Linked DNA regions of Anolis sagrei. Each later gene encodes a partner of the first gene's protein in a complex. Links are inferred from orthologs where the notes say so. Each region holds a gene or a part of one and is shown on either strand. Other genes may lie near its edges. The genes, in order: ESPL1 and PTTG1.

What was found.
Region 2: the proteins of ESPL1 (region 1) and PTTG1 are in contact, whole or in part, in a cryo-EM structure (PDB 7NJ1), measured with the Homo sapiens proteins. The link is inferred for Anolis sagrei from reciprocal best matches to the Homo sapiens genes ESPL1 and PTTG1. Residues at the interface, in NP_036423.4 of Homo sapiens: His402, Thr405, Val406, Tyr409, Ser461, Asn462, Tyr465, Tyr468, Arg505, Arg508, Glu512, Glu544, Thr547, Phe548, Arg551, Gln590, Lys593, Ala594, Val595, Arg596, Thr599, Gly600, Arg603, Gln634, Cys637, Tyr638, Trp683, Ile686, Glu690, Ile697; in NP_001269311.1 of Homo sapiens: Tyr111, Pro112, Glu113, Ile114, Glu115, Lys116, Phe117, Phe118, Pro119, Phe120, Asn121, Pro122, Leu123, Phe125, Glu126, Ser127, Phe128, Asp129, Leu130, Pro131, Glu132, Glu133, His134, Gln135, Ile136, Ala137, His138, Leu139, Pro140, Leu141.

What each region holds. Positions count from the first base shown.
Region 1 is NC_090022.1:187,106,802-187,116,026, forward strand, and holds the start of ESPL1 (separin), read right to left. Parts: upstream 5,169-9,225; 5' UTR 5,065-5,168; intron 2,191-5,064; 5' UTR 2,183-2,190; coding exon 2,102-2,182; intron 1-2,101. UniProt on the Homo sapiens protein: Caspase-like protease, which plays a central role in the chromosome segregation by cleaving the SCC1/RAD21 subunit of the cohesin complex at the onset of anaphase. During most of the cell cycle, it is inactivated by different mechanisms.
Region 2 is NC_090022.1:111,397,938-111,407,162, reverse strand, and holds the start of PTTG1 (securin), read left to right. Parts: upstream 1-3,316; 5' UTR 3,317-3,348; intron 3,349-4,651; exon of another isoform or gene 4,652-4,790; intron 4,791-4,824; exon of another isoform or gene 4,825-4,859; intron 4,860-4,959; 5' UTR 4,960-5,067; intron 5,068-6,052; 5' UTR 6,053-6,072; coding exon 6,073-6,163; intron 6,164-7,767; coding exon 7,768-7,940; intron 7,941-8,589; coding exon 8,590-8,680; intron 8,681-8,947; coding exon 8,948-9,097; intron 9,098-9,225. Other genes in the region: pre-mRNA-splicing factor SLU7, read right to left, coding at 1-138. UniProt on the Homo sapiens protein: Regulatory protein, which plays a central role in chromosome stability, in the p53/TP53 pathway, and DNA repair. Probably acts by blocking the action of key proteins.

The DNA.
Region 1 (9,225 bases):
ATTCCAAATATGTATACCTACACACTCCATCATTCTCAACAGACTGGGATAATGAAAGTTAGAAGACCAACACATATGGAGGGCACCCATTTTGGGAAGAACAGGCATACAGTATTATCTAAACTGTACAGTGCACTTTCCTTATTACAGTTGGGAGAAAACATGTGCATGAAAAAACTATGTTTAACAGAAACTTGCAATGTCCCACACCATCCCAGATTGTGCAGTTCCCCAATGACAACCACATTTCTTCTCCAATACAATTACCACATGTGGACCCATGCTAGCAAGCCACTAGCCCTCATATCATCTTAAACTAGACAATGCAAAATCCAACAGAAAATTTAGGAAACTTCTTTAGTGGAAGTAAAAGCTTTGGATGCAAAAAAATTAAGATGGCACGTGGCAGTTGTTCTGAAGCCACTACAACTTTAGCTAATGCCAAGTGAGTAGCCTCTATTGATGTCAGACTTGTATAACCTGGGCTTTTGACTATGTTTATTATTAATATGTGTATGTCTGGCATCAGAATGTAGAAAGCAGTCAACACTAACTTCTGTTTAAATTAATCCCCAGTCTTTTAGATGTAAATACTATTATTTCTTTATTATTTATTTACCATATTTGTACCTCGTCCTTCTGAACCCCGAGGGGGAATCAGAGCAGCCTTACATATCAGCAACTATTCAATGCCTTAAATAACATACAATTGGTAAATATCTACATTAAAAACCAGAAAATTAAAACACCAAAAAAAACAATTACATCAATGATTAAAATCACATAATTAAAGTCATAATCCATGGCCATTCCAATTGTCATTGCACAAGTTCTACATTCATTTATTGCAAAATCTTGGAGAATAACTAACAATTAGTTATCAGAAAACTATTACTAGTTTGTCTAGATGCACATATCAGATACAAGTGTAATTAATTAGAAGTGCATGTCAATCGGGGAACAGGTGTGAGAAAATGCATGAAGTCCAGGAGCGCTTTGCTTATTAAAAGCCTTGACGAACTGCCTGAGAGAGTATTGTCGAAAACCTACAACAACCCAGTGCCTGAGAGAGCTTGACACAAACCAGAAGAGCCAGCAAGAGGCTGTGCATTAACACAAATCTGGGTTCCTCCGCTGTATCTTCTCCAGGCTCTCAACAGCTGAATGGGGACAGGTGGAATTTGCTCCAAGTATTGACTGTATTTTAACATGTGTAAATGTTACCTGTCATTTAAAAAAAAACCTGTCAAACCTTGAATCATCTGCTGTGTGTTGCCCCTCCACCCAAAAAACCCAGTTTCTTTGGACAGAATATTTTCCCACCCAGCTGATAGTACATCCCAATTTCAATCAGCATGGCCAAACATTAGTGACATGGCAACTATAAATCAACAGCATGAAGGAAGCATAGGATCCCCACTTCCGACCCTCAGGATATACCAAGCATTCATTTTAAGCAGGGCCACCTTTGCAGTTAGACAGACAAACCAGCTGCCTTGGGCAGCAGATGTCAGGTGACAGCTCCAACGGAACTTCCGAGCTTTCCAGCTGTTCCTTGTTAACAGAGGGCAGAGTACTGCATGCCACATTGTTTGTCCTTGCTATCTAGACCAGTGATTCACAAATTGTTCCACAAAACCCTAAAATTCAATGAAAACATAGAGGTTCCTCTAAAAAACATATTTAATTTTTTAAGTCCATACCAGAGTATTCAGATCGTATTGAAATCCAATGAACTTCTGCTTAAAAAAAAATTTAATCTCTTTATTTTCAAACATACAATAACAGCCAGGCAATAGGAGGTGACGGAAAGAAAAAATTGTGCATTCACAATCCTGAGAATTCCACAGGGGGGAGGGGGTGTCTTCTGAAGGGTTCCATGACCAAAACAGTTTGGGAACTACTGATCTAGACTAGCCTAGGTATGGAGGCAGCTACCATTCTCCATGTTACCAAGGAGAAGAGCCACTGCCTTTTCTCAGAGGCAATTTGCCTCTAGGACTACAGGTACCGTGTTCTCCTATCACTGCTAATATCCATTAAAAGGCCATTTTCCAGAACCACCCAGACTGGAGGGTATCAACTCATCTTGGAGGCTTACCTTCAACTCTGACAACAAAGCCAGAGATTCTTCAGGAGTACTGGTCTGTGCCACAAAATCTGCACCTTTAAGGTGCTCCATTTTGCATCCTACAGAAAAAGACATATAACTGATTAACCATACATAGCGCTGAGACAGGTATCTCACATCAAGTGCTGAGAGCAACTTGAAAGCCAGGAAGTCTTGGCTTTCAAATTATCTTCAACTAACTTGATGATAGTTAAATTAAAGTTAACTTCCAACAGACCATACTGTTAAATCCCTGGAATTGTTTTTGCAAGACTTCTCATCTCAGATTGTCAAAGCTTTCCCGCCTGCCTATCCAAATGAGAGGACACTTTAGATGACAAGTCCAAAAGAAGAATGATTCCATGCTATGCAAATAGCGGGCTGAGGTATTCTGAGCCAAGTCTTCAAAATATGAGAACACATCATAAACTTAATCCCACTTAACTACCATGTAATATTATGGCAAAGAGGCTCAAGCCCAAATTCATCCTTCCTGTCTCAGTTTGCACCATTCTTCTACCAAAAAAAAAAAAAACCCCAAGTGTACACACAGAACACTTCCTCTAGTTCAGTAGTGTCCAACCTTTGATCCTCCAGGTGTTTGGGACTCTATCTCTCAGAAGCCCTGTCCAGCCACTCCAGTGGTCAGGAATTCTAAGAGCTGAAGTCCAAAACACCCAGAAGACCAAAGGCTCTAGTCACGCCTTTCTTCACTGTCAATTTCATGTTGTTTTTTATACTACGCGTCCCATGGGACCTGTTCTCTTTCCTTGTGCAGCATCATATAGGTATCTGTTATCTGTTGACTTACAGGGACTCTATGAGATAATGTGAAGGCAGACATATACCAATTTTATTCAGTCACATCTTACAACAAAACAAGTCAGGAAGGTGGGCACACCAAAAATGTTGGATTTAGGGCCCTTCCACACAGGCATATATCCCAGAATATTAAGGCAGATAATTTATTTACGACATTTATATGCTGCCCTTCTCACCCTGAAGGGGTCTCAGAGCGGCTTACATACAATATATTATATTATTAGTTTTAAATATTTCTATATTGTACTATGCCAATTATACGGCAACATTATTAGTAATACCACATGTAATATAAATATATAATTATAATATAATATTATTATATATTAGTAGTATTATACATTATAATATTATATATTATACATTACATTATAATGTATAATTGTATTTACATTATAATATTATAAATATTATATGTATATACAATATATTATATTATGAGAATAGCACAGGAGACAAGGTGGAACAAGGTGAAGATAATCCACAATATTTGCTTTGAACTTGGTTATCTGAGTCCACGCTGCTGTATAGTCCAGTTCTATGTGGATTTTATACAATATATTATATTATTAGTTTTAAATATTGCTATATTGTACTATACCAATTATACAAAATTTTATGCAGATTTTGTTTTGTTAATCTTATGGTTTTTACTTTATATGTTGTGATTTTTACCTGGGAACCGCTCTGAGTCCCCTTGGGGAGATAGAGCGGTATATAAATGAAGTTTTTTAAATTATTATTATTATTATTATTATTATTATCATCATCATTATTTTTATTATACTGCAACATTATTAGTAATACCACATGTAATATAAATATATAACTATAATATCATATTATTATATTGCATTACATTATAATATTATAATTATATGTATATACAATATATTATATTATTAGAATAGCACAGGAGACAAGGTGGAAAAAGGTGGAGATATTCCGCAATATCTGCTTTGAACTTGGTTATCTGAGTCCACACTGCTGTATAGTCCAGTTCTATGTGGATTTTATACAATATATTATATTAGTTTTAAATATTGCTATATTTTACTATAACAATTATACTGCAACATTATTAGTAATACCACATGTAATATAAGTATATAATTATAATATATTATTATTATATTGCATTACATTATAATATTATAATTATATGTATATATATAAAAAGGTTTTCCCCTGACATTAAGTCCAGTCATGTCTGACTCTGGGGTGTGGTGCTCATCTCTATTTCTAAGCCGAAGAGCCTGCGTTGTCCGTAGACACCTCCAAGGTCATGTGGCCGGCATGACTGCATGGAACGCCGTTACCTTCCCACCGGAGCGGTACCTATTGATCTACTCACATTTGCATGTTTTCGAACTGCTAGGTTGGCAGAAGCTAGGGCTGACAGCGGAAGCTTACGCCGCTCCCCGGAATCGAACCTGTGACCTTTCGATCAACAAGCTCAGCAGCTCAGTGCTTTAACCCACTGCGCCACCAGGGGCTATACAATATATTATATTATTAGAATAGCACAGGAGACAAGATGAAGATAATCCACAATATCTGCTTTGAACTTGGTTATCTGAGTCCACACTGCTGTATATTCCAGTTCTGTGTGGATTTTATACAGCTGTACAGAAGGGGCCTTAGCTTCCTATAAAATCAGCATAATTTTTAAATGCTTTAGAAACTTCAATTTGCTGGCCCTTTTTATTTAATTAAAACAAATTATTACTTAAATTAAAAATTATTACTTATTTAAATAAATAAACAAATATAACTGTACTACACTAGGCAAGGGCAAAGTTGGGCCCTCTGGGAGTTTTGGACTTCAACTCCCATAATTCCTCACAGCCTCAGGCCCTTTCCTTTCCCCCCTCAGCCGCTTAAGTGCCAGAGGGGGAAAAGGAAGGGGCCTGAGGCTGTTAGGAATTGTGGGCGTTGAAGTCCAAAACTCCCAGAGGGCCCAACTTTGCCCAGGCCTGATGTACACTGTAGCTTGACACCATTTTAACCATCATGGCTGAGTGCGACTGAATCCTGTGACTTGTAGTTTTACAGTGTTTGTAGCCTTCTCTGCGAAACTACAACTCCCCCAGTCCAACTCAAAGCCAGGGCTTACCCCAGTCCTTACGTACCCGCTGGAAGGAAGCCTTTCCGCCCAACTGGCAAGTCACCACCACACTGGAAACCAGGGCCCGAGCCGGCCCCGCGCCCTGTTCAAATCCTCGCCGAGGGCCAATCAGCGCCCGCCCCCGCGCCCCGCCCCCGCGCCCCGCCTCCGCCCATTGCACTCTGGGAAATCTCACTGTAAACACTTTCTGGAGTCACAGCGTGCAGAATGAGTGAAGGAATGAATGGCACTTGGGCTGTCACCATTCGGTTCAATGCTGTGGAGTCCTGGGAGCTGTTAGTTGGCAGCCCTTTTAGAAGCTACTTACTTACTTACTTACTTACTTACTTACTTAGGCGATCCCTCGTAGTCTGAGGTTGAAGGTCCTCCAAGTGTGTTGTTGTTCATTCGTTCAGTCGCTTCCGACTCTTCGTGACCTCACGAACCAGCCCACGCCAGAGCTCCCTGTCGGCCGTCACCACCCCCAGCTCCTTCAAGGTCTATCCAGTCACTTCAAGGATGCCATCGGCCCCTCTTCCTTTTGCCTTCCACTTTCCCCAGCATAATTGTCTTCTCCAGGCTTTCCTGTCTCCTCATGATGTGGCCAAAGTACTTCAACTCTAGTATCCTTCCCTCCAGTGAGCAGTCGGGCTTTATTTCCTGGAGGATGGACTGGTTGGATCTTCTCGCAGTCCAAGGCACTCTCAGCACTTTCCTCCAACACCACAGCTCAAAAGCATCAATCTTCCTTCGCTCAGCTCCTCCTCGCTTTTGGCCATCAGAGTGGTGTCATCTGCATATCTGAGGTTGTTAATGTTTCTTCCAGCAATTTTCATCCCAACCTTGCATTCATCAAGCCCTGCACATCGCATGATGTGTTCTGCATACAAGTTGAATAGGTTGGGTGAGAGTATACAACCCTGCCGTACACCTTTCCCAATCTTGAACCAGTCTGTTGTTCCGTGGTCAGTTCTGACTGTTGCTACTTGGTCCTTGTACAGATTCCTCAGGAAAGAGACAAGGTGGCTTGGTATGCCCATCCCACCAAGAACTTGCCACAATTTGTTATGATCCACACAGTCAAAGGCTTTAGAATAGTCAATGAAACAGAAATAGATGTTTTTCTGAAACTCCCTGCCTTTCTCCATTATCCAGCGGATATTGGCAATCTGGTCTCTTGTTCCTCTGCCTTTTCTAAACCCAGCTTGAACATCTGGCAACTCTCGCTCCCTGTATTGCTGGAGTCTTCCTTGCAAGATCTTGAGCATTACCTTACTGGCATGAAAAATAAGGGCCACTGTACAGAAGTTTGAGCAGTCTTTCGCATTTCCCTTTTTTGGTATGGTTATATAAGTTGATTTTTTCCAATCTGATGGCCATTCTTGTGTTTTCCATATTTGCTGGCATATGGCATGCATCACCTTGACAGCATCATGGACCTCCAAGTGTAGTGGGTACGTAAGTGACTATGGAGCCCTATTCTTGATCTGCATCTTCTCCCGCAGTGAGGGCATCGGTTTGCAGGTAGAAGGTTGGTTTGACACACCTTCCTCTTGGCATGTTTATCTCTTTCGCCCTTCATTCGCGCCTCTTCAAATTCTGCAGCACTGCTGGTCACAGCTGACCTCCAGGGCTTCCCAGTTCTCAGTGTCTATGTCAGAGTTTTAAGGTTGGCTTGTGCCCATCTTTAAATCTGGGTTGTTGTAGGTTTTTTCGGGCTATATGGCCATGTTCTAGAGCAGGGGTCCTCAAACTAGGGGCCGGATACAGCCTTTCCAAGGTCATTTGTCCAGCCCTCGCTCAGGGTCAACCTAAGTCTGAAACGACTTGAAAGCACACAACAACAACAATTCTATCTCATCAGCCAAAAGCAGGCCCACATTTCTTTTCATCTTTAGTTTCTTTCATATTAGAGTATGTGCTGTGTGCTTTAAGATCTCTCTCTGCATGTGTGTCAAAGAGATGCAGTTGATTGGTGTTTTTCCCTCTTTGAAACCTTAGAAGAAATGGGTGTTAGAGTAGCTCAGACCCAATTATTTACCATTAAGAAATGCAGTTATTGTTTATTATCTATATCAGGGGTCCTCAAACTAAGGCCTGGGGGCAGGATGCGGCCCTCCAAGGTCATTTACCCGGCCCTCGCTCAGGGTCAACCCAAGTCTGAAACGACTTGAAAGCACACAACAACAACAATCCTATCTCATCAGCCAAAAGCAGGCCCACACTTCCCATTGAAATACTAATAAGCTTATATTTATTAAAATTGTTCTTCATGTTAATTATTGTATTGTTTTAAAGTGGTTTTTTTTCTCTTCTTTTTGCACTAAAAATAAGATATGTGCAGTGTGCAGAGGAATTCATTCCTGTTTTTTCCAAATTATATTCTGGCACTCCAACAGTTTGAGGTACTGTGACCTGGCCCTCTGTTTAAAAAGTTTGTGGACCCCTGTTCTAGAGGCGTTCTCTCCTGATGTTTCACCTGCATCTATGGTAAGTATCCTCAGAGGTAATGAGGTCACTACCTCTAAGGATGCTTGCTGTAGTTGCAGGCGAAACGTCAGAGAGAATGCCTCTAGAATATGGCCATATAGCCCAAAAAACCCTAAAACAACCTAGTGATTCTGGCCATGAAAGTCTTCGACAATGCATCTTTAAATCTCTTTTCCTGTCAACCAACATTATGTTTCCCATTCTTGAGTTCGGAGTAGAGAACTGCTTTGGGAGACGGTGGTCAGGCATCCGGACAACGTGGCCGGTTCAGCGAAGTTGATGGTGGAGGACCATCGCTTCATTGATGGTGGTCTTTGCTTCTTCCAGCACACTGACATTTGTCCGCTTGTCTTCCCAAGAGATTTGCAGGATTTTCTGGAAGCAGCGCTGATGGAATCGTTCTAGGAGTTGCAAGCTACATACAACCTCCCAGGATTCCACAGCATTGAGCCACAGCAGTTCAAAGGCAGTGTTGAAAGTGCCTTCGTTCCACAGTGCAGACGCACCCTTCCTCACAGTGATGGGTCACACTTTAAATGATCATTTTGGGGTGAAGGATTGCGGTACATTGTCACTTAGAGTTTCTCTTCTGTACCCTTGGGATCCGCTTACAGCGTGTCTACATTGGAGAAAGAGGTTGTCCTCTCTCTTTTAAAAAAACCTCCACAATTATGAGCTGCATAGATATGTAGTGTAGAAAAGTGCCCTTGTATTGACTGAAAGACGTGTCTGTTGAAGAGGAACAAAAGAAGCAACTTTCTCCTACACTACATACATACATACATACATACAAACATACATTTAGTGATATCCTTTATCTGTAGTGTGTGCATGTGTGTGTGTATCTCCTCTATCTGTATGGAGATAGAATATATATATATATATATATATATATATATATATATTCTATCGTATGTGATATATGGAATATTACAGATAGAGGATATATATAGATTTATATATATACACACATACTACTGATAGATAGATAGATAGATAGATAGATAAATAGATAGATAGAGGATATTTGTGTATGTGTGTATCCTCTCTCTGTAGTATAAATATCATCTATCTATCTGTAGTGTGATTATCCATATATCATCTCTATCTGTATTGTGTGTGTATCATATATATATATATATATATATATATATATATATATATATATATCCTTTATCTATCTGTAGTGTGTGTGTATACATATATGCATACACACACACACATATATATCCTCTAACTGTAGTGTGTGTGTATATATATATTTACAATATTTATATACCCCCTTTCTCACCCCTGGGGGGACTCAAAGCGGTTAATATGTGTATGTGGTTTGCATATATATACTCTATGTGTAGTCTATCTATCCATCTATCTACCTATAATATGTGTACCTATAATATATATGGACATAAATAAACACATATAGTGTGTGTGTGTGTGTGTGTATCCTCTATCTATCTGTAATGTTTGCATATATATATATGTTCATATATCTCCTCTATCTATCTGTAGTGTATATATGTATTTCCATATATATCCCCTATCAATTATAATAATTATTATATTTATTTATGCCCTGCTTTATCTCTCCAAAGGGGATTCAAAGCAACTTGATATAAAAGTATTCACATACTATTTAAAATATACAAATATACAAACATTAAAAAAATTAAAATCATAGCTAAACCATTAAAAC
Region 2 (9,225 bases), about 76 Mb from region 1:
ATTGCCCAATTTTCGCTGTTCTTCCAACTCCTTCTTCTTTCTCCAATCCTCTCTTGTCATTTTCTTAGGCTCTTCTAAGCCATTTGAACCTCCACCAGGAGGGTTAGTAGCTATCGTTTCCATACTCCCAGATTCCATAGTCTTTTTTCTAGTAACCTATACAGATAAACAAATGAATAGAGGTTAAGAATGGTTAAAATGCCTTATACAATAGCATAAGGCATAGCACTTACCTTTCCAATAAGATTTATTGCTGTTATTGAAATAAATGAACTTCCTTCTATCTAGGTAAACTACTAAGCATTTGAGTTTATGTTGGTATTTTGTCATTTGAGAAGGTTGTTAATAGGGCTGGGCGGTTTCGTTTTGTTAATTCGTAATTCGTTAAAAATTCGTTATTTTTTTTTAAGTAACGAAGCGATAACGAACCATTCTGGAGCAACTTAAAAACGAAACGAATTTTTAAATTCGTTTCGTAATTGTTTCTAATTCGTTTTGTATTCGTTTCATTATCGTTTTGAAGTCGTTTCGTTATTATTTCCGCATGTCTGGGGCAGGTTTTATAGTTGTTTTTTGTTTAATTAGTGAAAAAAAATTATAATATCACACCAACAGTCAACAACAGAGGGAGAGGGAAGCTTCAGAAGTTCCCCCCTGTCCCATTTGGAGGTTTTTTAGCGTATTTCGCGGTCGCATCCGCCATTAACGAATCAATTCGTTATTGTTTCGTAATTTTTTTAACATTTACGAAATTTCGTAAATATCGAACTTTTTAAAAGAAAAATTTCGGAATTCTTTTTAAAATCGAAACGCAAAAACCCCCAAAAAACGAATCGATTTTAGAAACAAATTTTTCCGTTGTTACCCAGGCCTAGTTGTTAACACTTCTAATGGGTTTCTTACTTTTGTGTTGGCATTGCAATTAAAATAATAATAATATTATTCTCTGTGATAATAGTTTCACAATCACCTCCACGATGTTTTAATTTTCCCTCATCTATTTGAACTAACTAGCATTTATTTGTTCTAAACAACAACTGAAGAACTTTCTTTAAGTACTGGCCAATGTGGCATTTGAAACTGTTTTTAATCGAGAAGAACAACATCTTGAGAACTGTATTATATGTTTACTATACATTTCCAACTGCAAGGAACTGAAGCACCAGGGATGGAAAGACCTGTTTTACAGTTCTGCTAGTTACATAAGCTTATTTAGTATCTAAGCTACTATGCTTGGTTAAGTCATGTGAACCTATGTGAAACACTTTTATATGCTCCTATAGTAGATATTCTGCAGACATGACACAGAATATAATAGTACAATTTTTAAAACAATAGCAACAACCATAATTGATGTTCTGAACAGTCAAGTTTTTGAAAGATGTAAAAGAAACTATAGGTCAGGATTAATTTAAGCGTAAAAGCTTTGTAATTAAAAAAAATATTACTATCTGTTTAAAAAAAAGATTATGATTAAAGAAATCTACACTGTAAAACAAATTGTAGCATATTTAGTATGCTTATGACTGCCCACATTTGCATATGTTTACCTGCTGCTTATGGTTTTCTTTCCAGCAATTCCTCCTAGCTAGTTTAGGGAAGAATGCTCTATATAGAGTAATGCTTCTCAACCTGTGGGTCCTCAAGTGTTTTGGCCTACAACTCCCAGAAATCCCAGCCAGTTGACCAGCTGTTAGGATTTTTGGGAGTTGAAAGCCAAAACATCTGGGGATCCACAGGTTGAGAACCACTACTAGAGCATTAACTAGCCCTTTTGACAGCTATTGAAGGAGACTGTGGTAAGAAACAGAGCCGAGACGTTCATAATTACACTTGTGATACTTTCTAAAAATTCCTTTATAAATAGATGTTTGAGACACTAAGTACATATGCTGCTTAAAAACTCAACTATCCTGTCCCTGGGTATATCTACACTATAGAATTAATGCAGTTTTGATACCATAAATCAATATAAATCAACCTAAAGGCACACACATATCCACATTTAGGTTTTTCCACTATGTTTTGAGGTCTTTCAGAATCAATGGCAGGTGATAAAAAGCTATAAATTAAGGAAGACTCTTGGTCAGGAATAGGTTTTCTTCTAGAATTCTAAACAGTTAAGAGTGTAGACATTACTATGTTGCTTTCCCATTCAAGTCCTAATTGGGGCTGGAGTTCTTCCTTAACTTCCAAGACCAGATGGGATTTGGCACTTTTAGGACATCTGGACAGTATACGTATTGACAAATAAAACACACAAATATAAAGGAACTAAATACCAAAGCAAGGTATACCTACTGTGGTTTCATGGAGAGCATTCTGTTTCTGATCCCTGCTGCAAACAATATGGCACTCCCATCCGGTGTTGCAGCAGATGGTTCTAACTTTACATGACTATAGGGAAGGCCACTTCTGTACTGTAGAAATAATGCAGTTTGAGACCACTTTAATTGCCATGGCTATGGGATCCTGGGGTTTTGTTGCTTGGTGAGGCAACAGCCTTGCTTTTAACTGTATTTTATGTTGTTTGGGAGCATTGACTGCCGATTGTAAACCGCCTCGAGTCGCCTCTGGGTTGAGAGGGGCGGTATACAAATATGGTAAATAAATAGTGGAAACATATGGCAACACAGGATGTATTTACACTGTAGGATTGGTATTATTACACCAAATTCACTGAGATCTGTAGTTTGACAACGTCTTTGGCTTTCTCTGTCACAGAGTGCAGAAGCCTTACAAAACAACAGCTCCCAGGATTCCATACCACTGCGCCATGGCAGTTAAAGTGGTGTCAAACTGCATCAATTCTACAGTACAGCTGGAGACCAATTCCAATCCCTATTCAACCCTAGAAATCCACCGAGTGGACTCGGAGCAGTCACACTCTCTCAGCCTCAGAGGAAGGCAAAGTCAAGCCCCTTCTGATGAACTCCTGCCAAGAAATCCTGTGGCAGTTTCGCTTTAAAGTCGCCATAAATCAGAACTGACTTGACAACAACAAGAGCGAGGGATTACGTCCGTTGTGTAAACAAGTGTAATTGAAAGGTAGTTTGAAGGAGGAGTTGAGATCCCAGGAGAAGACACACCACAACACATACAAAAACAGTCTCCGCTTCCGGAAACACCAGGAAAAGCCCCTCAGACTCACCCAAAAGTCGAAGGCATTCACTCCTTCAGCTTTACTGAGGCTACGACACTAAGTAGGCCTCACTTCCGTTTCCCATAATGCAGCGCGCGGCCCTATTCGCCCCTCCTACTTTTTTTTCTTAAAGGGATAGAGCTTAATTCACCTCCGAAGCAAGGGATCCTTCCCAATCAGCTTCGGCTGCCCAGCGTTCATTCTGGGTGACTGCAGAGAGTGAATGGCTGCTTGAAAAAAAAAAAAAAAGGATTGGGTTTAAGAACCTGCAGAGCCATAGCTAGAGCACTACTATGGAAACAGACCAATGGAATCATGGGATTTATAGTTTAGCGAAGGACATTAAGAACTCCCAGTTAGAGAGCTCTTGGGCCTCGCTGAACTACAAGCCCAGAATGGGAGGTGACAGGTAGAGCGCTGGGCTCTTCCTTTTGGGCAGCTGGGTCATTGGAGAGATTTCTCAGCCTTTTGCAGAGAAGGGAAATCATATCTCCCTTTCAGGGCAGCCCTGAGCCTCCTTCCACACAGTTGTATAACATCCATAATGAACCGGATTATATGGCAGTGTGGACTCAGATATCCCAGTTCAAAACAGATATTGTGGATTACTCGCCTTGATATTTTGGGTTTTATGGCTATGTGGAAGGGCCCTGAGGCATAACTCCCTTAGGCCCCTTCTACACTGCCATATAATATCCAATTTATTTTATTTGAACTGGATTATATGGCAGTGTAGACTCATATAATCCAGTTCAAAGCAGATGTGTAATATCTTTGATTATCTGGATTGTATGGCAGGGCCTTAGGGCCCTTTCAGTGTCCTTATGTACCAGCTGTGTTTTTGACTGCAATTCCCAGCATTCCTCAAACTGCCCTTGGTCACGCTTGGCTTGGGGATTCTGGGACCTGCAATCCAAAAAGGCCACTTCTGTGCTGTAGAAATAATGCAGTTTGGGACCACTTTAACTGCCATGGCTATGGGATCCTGGGGTTTTGTGGCTTGGTGAGGCAACAGCCTTGGGCAGAGAAGGTAAAACTACAACGCCCAGGATCGCATAGCATTGAGCCCTGGCAGTTAAAGCTGTATCAATGCGGCACTAATTCTGCAATGTAGATGCACCCAAAATTAACTTTTCAAAGCGGCACTGTAGGGTGCTCTCTCTGGATTGCAGCACAGGCCAGCATCTGCTAAGGTGCATCTACATTGTAGGGTGAATGCAGTTTGACACCACTATGACCGCCATGGCGCAATGCTATGGAACCAGGGGAGATGTAGTTTTCCAGGGCCCTTAGCCTTCTCTGCCAAGGAGTGCCTTGCCAAAGTACGACTCCCATGACTCCATAGCATTGAGCCACAGCGCTTAAAGGGATCTCAAACGGTGTGAATTCCTGAGTCCTGCAACTAACACCTACAGTATTTTCCGAGGTTTACTCCCGACTGCGCAAACTCCGCTCGCGCCCTTCTTCTCTGCTGCTGTTGGTTTAGCAAAACAGCCAATCAGGATTGCTGGCGTCCTGCGAGGATGGGAACCAACCAATGACGTACGACGTTAACGATTTTAAAAACAGTTCCCTGTTAGACTGAACTCTATGAACTCACTTTGAAGGCACGGTGGGTTGGGTTGGGATTCATAAGTGGGGTTTGCAGGTGTTTTTCTCTTCATTTTTAATGGAATGCTGCTTAATGCTTTGAGATTCAGGACTGCACCTTTATTTTGTATAATATTATAAGCATAATTAAAAATAAGATATAATTAATAATGTACCAGGAACAAGGATAAACATTTATGGTTTTGTGTTTTTGCTTTAATTCCTAGTTGTTTCCTGTTGGTCGAAGCTTCCTTCCAAAAGATCTCAACCAGGATAGACTGGTGTTATTTGGCTGTGTTACTGCAGTTGGTTGCTTTCCAGAGAGTGTAGTTTGAGTGAGTAGCTCCAGACAGGAGAAACTGTGTCAAATAAGCCAAAAGTGTCGGCATGCATGTTGTTGGCTTTAGTAAAAAAGTAACTTTTTTTAAAAAAATCTTGTGACTGTTGAAACCACTGGTTCATGGAAAGTATTCAAATAAGTTAAAACAACAAACCTTTGAACATCGTACCTTTTCAAGACTTTTCTGCTTTGTTTTTTTAATCGCTTTTGAAAAAAAATTGTTCTGTTTGCAAATGTACTTTTATTAAGTACTAGCCATCCCCTGCCACACCTTGCTGTGGCCCAGTCTGTGTATATGTGTTTTGTGTGTGTATGTATGTGTATATATGTGGTTATGCAAATGCGTTGTAATGTATTTTTTATTTTCTGGCTTTTTAAGCCCCTTCTGCTGTGTTTTTCAGTGTTTTTATGAGTGATGGTCACTCGTTGGCCTGATAGGTGTATTGTGTCCACATTTGGTGTCAATTTGAGTTATGTTAATCCCACAAACGAACATTCCATTTTTATTTATATAGAGTTCAAATTTTAATTAAATATTTAAATACCACACTGATGAACTTGTGAGCTTTTATTTTTCTGATGCAAGTGACTAGAGCAGGTATGGGGAAAGTTCGGCCCTCCAGGTGTTTTGGACTTCAACTCCCACAATGTATAACAGCCGGTTGGAATTCCTAACCAGCGGTTAGTAATTGTGGGAGTTAAAGTACAAAACACCTGGAGGGCCAAACTTTGCCCATGCCTGGATTAGAGAGCAGTGAATGTTTTTAAAATTCCTTATATAAAATACTGTAGTGTTTGTCCCAGCTCAGTAGAAGGAAGCTTCACAAGTCTTAAACAGTGTGTCAAACTAATAATGTTTGTTTTCACTCCAAGAAGCTTGACTGGGTGTTCTTGAGAGAACATGTTTCCTGTTGTATTTTTGGGGCATTATTACATGAGCAATATAGGATCTGCTACTGCAGCTGTGGTGTCTATTTTAGGACCATCTGATGCAAAAGGAATGGCAACGCGCATATACATAGACAAAGAAAATGGTGATGCTGGCATTGTTACTGCCTCTAAGGATCGACTCAGAACCCTACCAGCACCTTGTGAGTATGCATTAATTCAAATGTAAAGCCGATATAAAAGAACTAATATGCCCCTTTGCTTGAAAGTACTAGTGACTTTAATGAGCGAGTTCTTACTCACCCTGTGGTTACTCTCATTCTTTATCGTAGTCAGCTATGCATTTATTTTTCTCATCTTGTACATAATTGCTAATCTCTGGGCACATTTCATAAGCAGCCACATTACTGAATTGTAGTGAGGGTTTGATCAGTTGTTGAATATGTTCCTTTTGGGGAACCCTGTGTGTAGTATCTTGAGTTCCTTGATGGAATATAAACATATGTTTTAAGAAGATACTTGAAAAGGAGTTAGTGAAGCTTTTATGTAAAGAGTAGCAATGAGCAGAAGACAATGTTTTAGAAAGAAAACTTTGAACAAGCAAAGGAAGAAAAAAATGGATAGAAGGGACACATACTATTAATTGGTTGCCTTTCAATGAGGAAGCTTCCAGTAGTACTTCACACTTAGAACTTTCTCCCTTGCAAGTCATAACACCTGAGCAGAGTTGGAAGATTTCTTCCTCCACTAGGCTTTCACCTGGTCAGGTTATGAGGTCTAAAGTGCTTGTATTAATTGCTCTAGAGCACTGCTCCTTAAACCGTGGGCCCTTATCCTAAATAGTCCTGAAAAATTTGGCAACAGTCAAAGGTTTCTGAATATTACTTATGACCTCATCAGGCAGGGTTTTTTACCTGTCCTAGCACGCTGCCGGAGCCCATCATGTGACACAGTGCTACTAGCATCGGGGCTCCGTCCTGGCAACATGCTAAGAGGAAACCAGGGACAGTAGGGAAATGTGGGATGAAAGCCTGTGACCCACCATGGTAAAGGGATGAAGCTGGGAGCTGACACGGGGTCCACCCCCCCCCCCAATCTCTTGACTTTTGGACCTTAGTAGCAGTTTTAGACTTTTATACAAATCAGTTGTGTGTTGTTTACAGTGAACTGCAGAAAATTCTTCAGCTGTTCTTAATAAAAGAAAATCAACTTATTTAGCAATCCTTGGAAATGATTTTTATGCTTATTTTATTTATATATCCGAGGTTATGTAAAAATATCTTAGTCTAAAATGGGTCCTAAGTGGAAATGCTTAAGGAGCTGTGCTCTACAGTAGCATTCTGGAAACTGGATTGTAACACAGTTATCTTCCTTGATGGCAAAATTGATAGTTATAACAATCAGAAACACTATTTTGTTCCTAGGTTATAAATGCCATTTTCTCATTGTTTCTACCATAAAAATCTGAACGAGTTTATTGAACTGCAAAACCTTTGTTTTTGCGGGACATCCTGCAGCACATTTTGCTATAGCTTTTTAATAACTATCTCATAGAGTCTCAACCAATTCCAAATAGTTTGTGGCAAGAAACTCTAGAAAGGAAGTTTCTGGAGTATAACAACTACTTTCAAAGTAAGGACCGCACAGTTAAACAAGAAATAACACTTTCAAACCAGGAGCAGATTTTTTTCCAGATTTTCTTACATGGTGTAATTTGTTCACCTGTCTGATGCCATACTACATATAATCAATGAAAAGATGTTGAAACTGAATCTTAAGCATGCTGGATGCTTTTTTCTTTCTGCAGCAAAGATATTTGGTGAAAAGTCTCACCCTAAGACTCCACTTGTTGGAAGGACAGCAAATGTCAATCTGAAGAATGCGAACTCTCAGTCAGCCAGGAAGGCCCTTGGAAATGTGAATAAGCCTTTGTCAGCAACAAAACTGGTTTCTATGGAAAAGAAGTTACCTGCAAAAAAGGTAACATGTGCTGTAGGGCTTCTTCTCATTTTGAAACAGAACAGTAATGCTAATGCCAAAGCTTGTTTTAGTATAAATTAAAGTGAAAATCTCACAGTAATCTCAACCGCAACATAATAGCCAAGCTGTGTTGTGTATTCAAAGATGTGCCCCAGTCTGTCAGACATACACATGGTGCCTAGTGATTGACCTATTTATTTTGGGAAAAGGGTAAAATAGTTCTAGTAAGTGTTTTATGTGTACTTTATTTCCTTGCAGTGCCTCAATAAAAGATAGTTGGGGATTCTTTATTTTGCATTAAACCCAGGGAAGGGAGACTTGTGGCCCAAATTGCTTTGCTTATCCTGTTAATTGGGAACAATCTGGGAAATGTCATTGTTTTTCTTCAATCATAGGTGAAAATAGGGGATGGAACCTATGCTTATAAAATGGCAATATTAAAACACAAGCTACTGTACAGAAAGAAACAAAAGATTGGTTCTCCTCCCATCACAGCACATCTCTTTCCATTGTGGCAGCTCCAGAAGGAAGCTTTACTTTCCTATAGTCATGGTTTTTCCATTTTCTTGTATCTATGAATGTAGAGAACTGACTGTATAACCCAGCTCTTTTTGCAACTTTTGTAACCACTTCCCCTTATTTTTGCAAGGCTACGAAGAGTACAAATCGAGTTGAAGGCTGCAGCATGATTCCAGAAAACTGTCTAGAAAAGGAGAATTTCTTTCCCTATGATCCTCTAGGTAATAACTTTTAAAACGTATAGCTTCACCTTTCTTGGCAAAATGTGGTGAGAGCTGGTTAATTTACATATATAAAAATACAGATGACAGGATATGGTATTGCTGACCTGACAAAGCTGATGTGATGTGTTAAATTGAATTTTTGTATAGGACAATGTGAAACAGCGATGAAACTTTAGGTATTACTATTGGGTTGGGCTTGTCTGTGTCTTTACTTCAAAATGGAATGGAAATCGGCACTAAACTATTGATATTGTATTTGAACAGACTTTGAAAGTTTTGAAGTTCCTGAGGAGCATAGACTGAGCCACATGTCCCTGACAGGTGCTCCTCTCATGATGTTTGAAAAAGCATCCAACCAATTCACAAGTATAGTCTCTGCACCCATAAGCCAACCTTTGATGTCATGGGACTATGGTAAGTATGGTATTTATCTTTTTTCTTCAAAGTTAAGGCTTGAAATGTTGCACTGAAAAGGTGCAGAATAAGATTGACTTGAGCAAATAGAGCAGAAGCAATTTGATGGCTTCTCAGCAGGAGTTGAC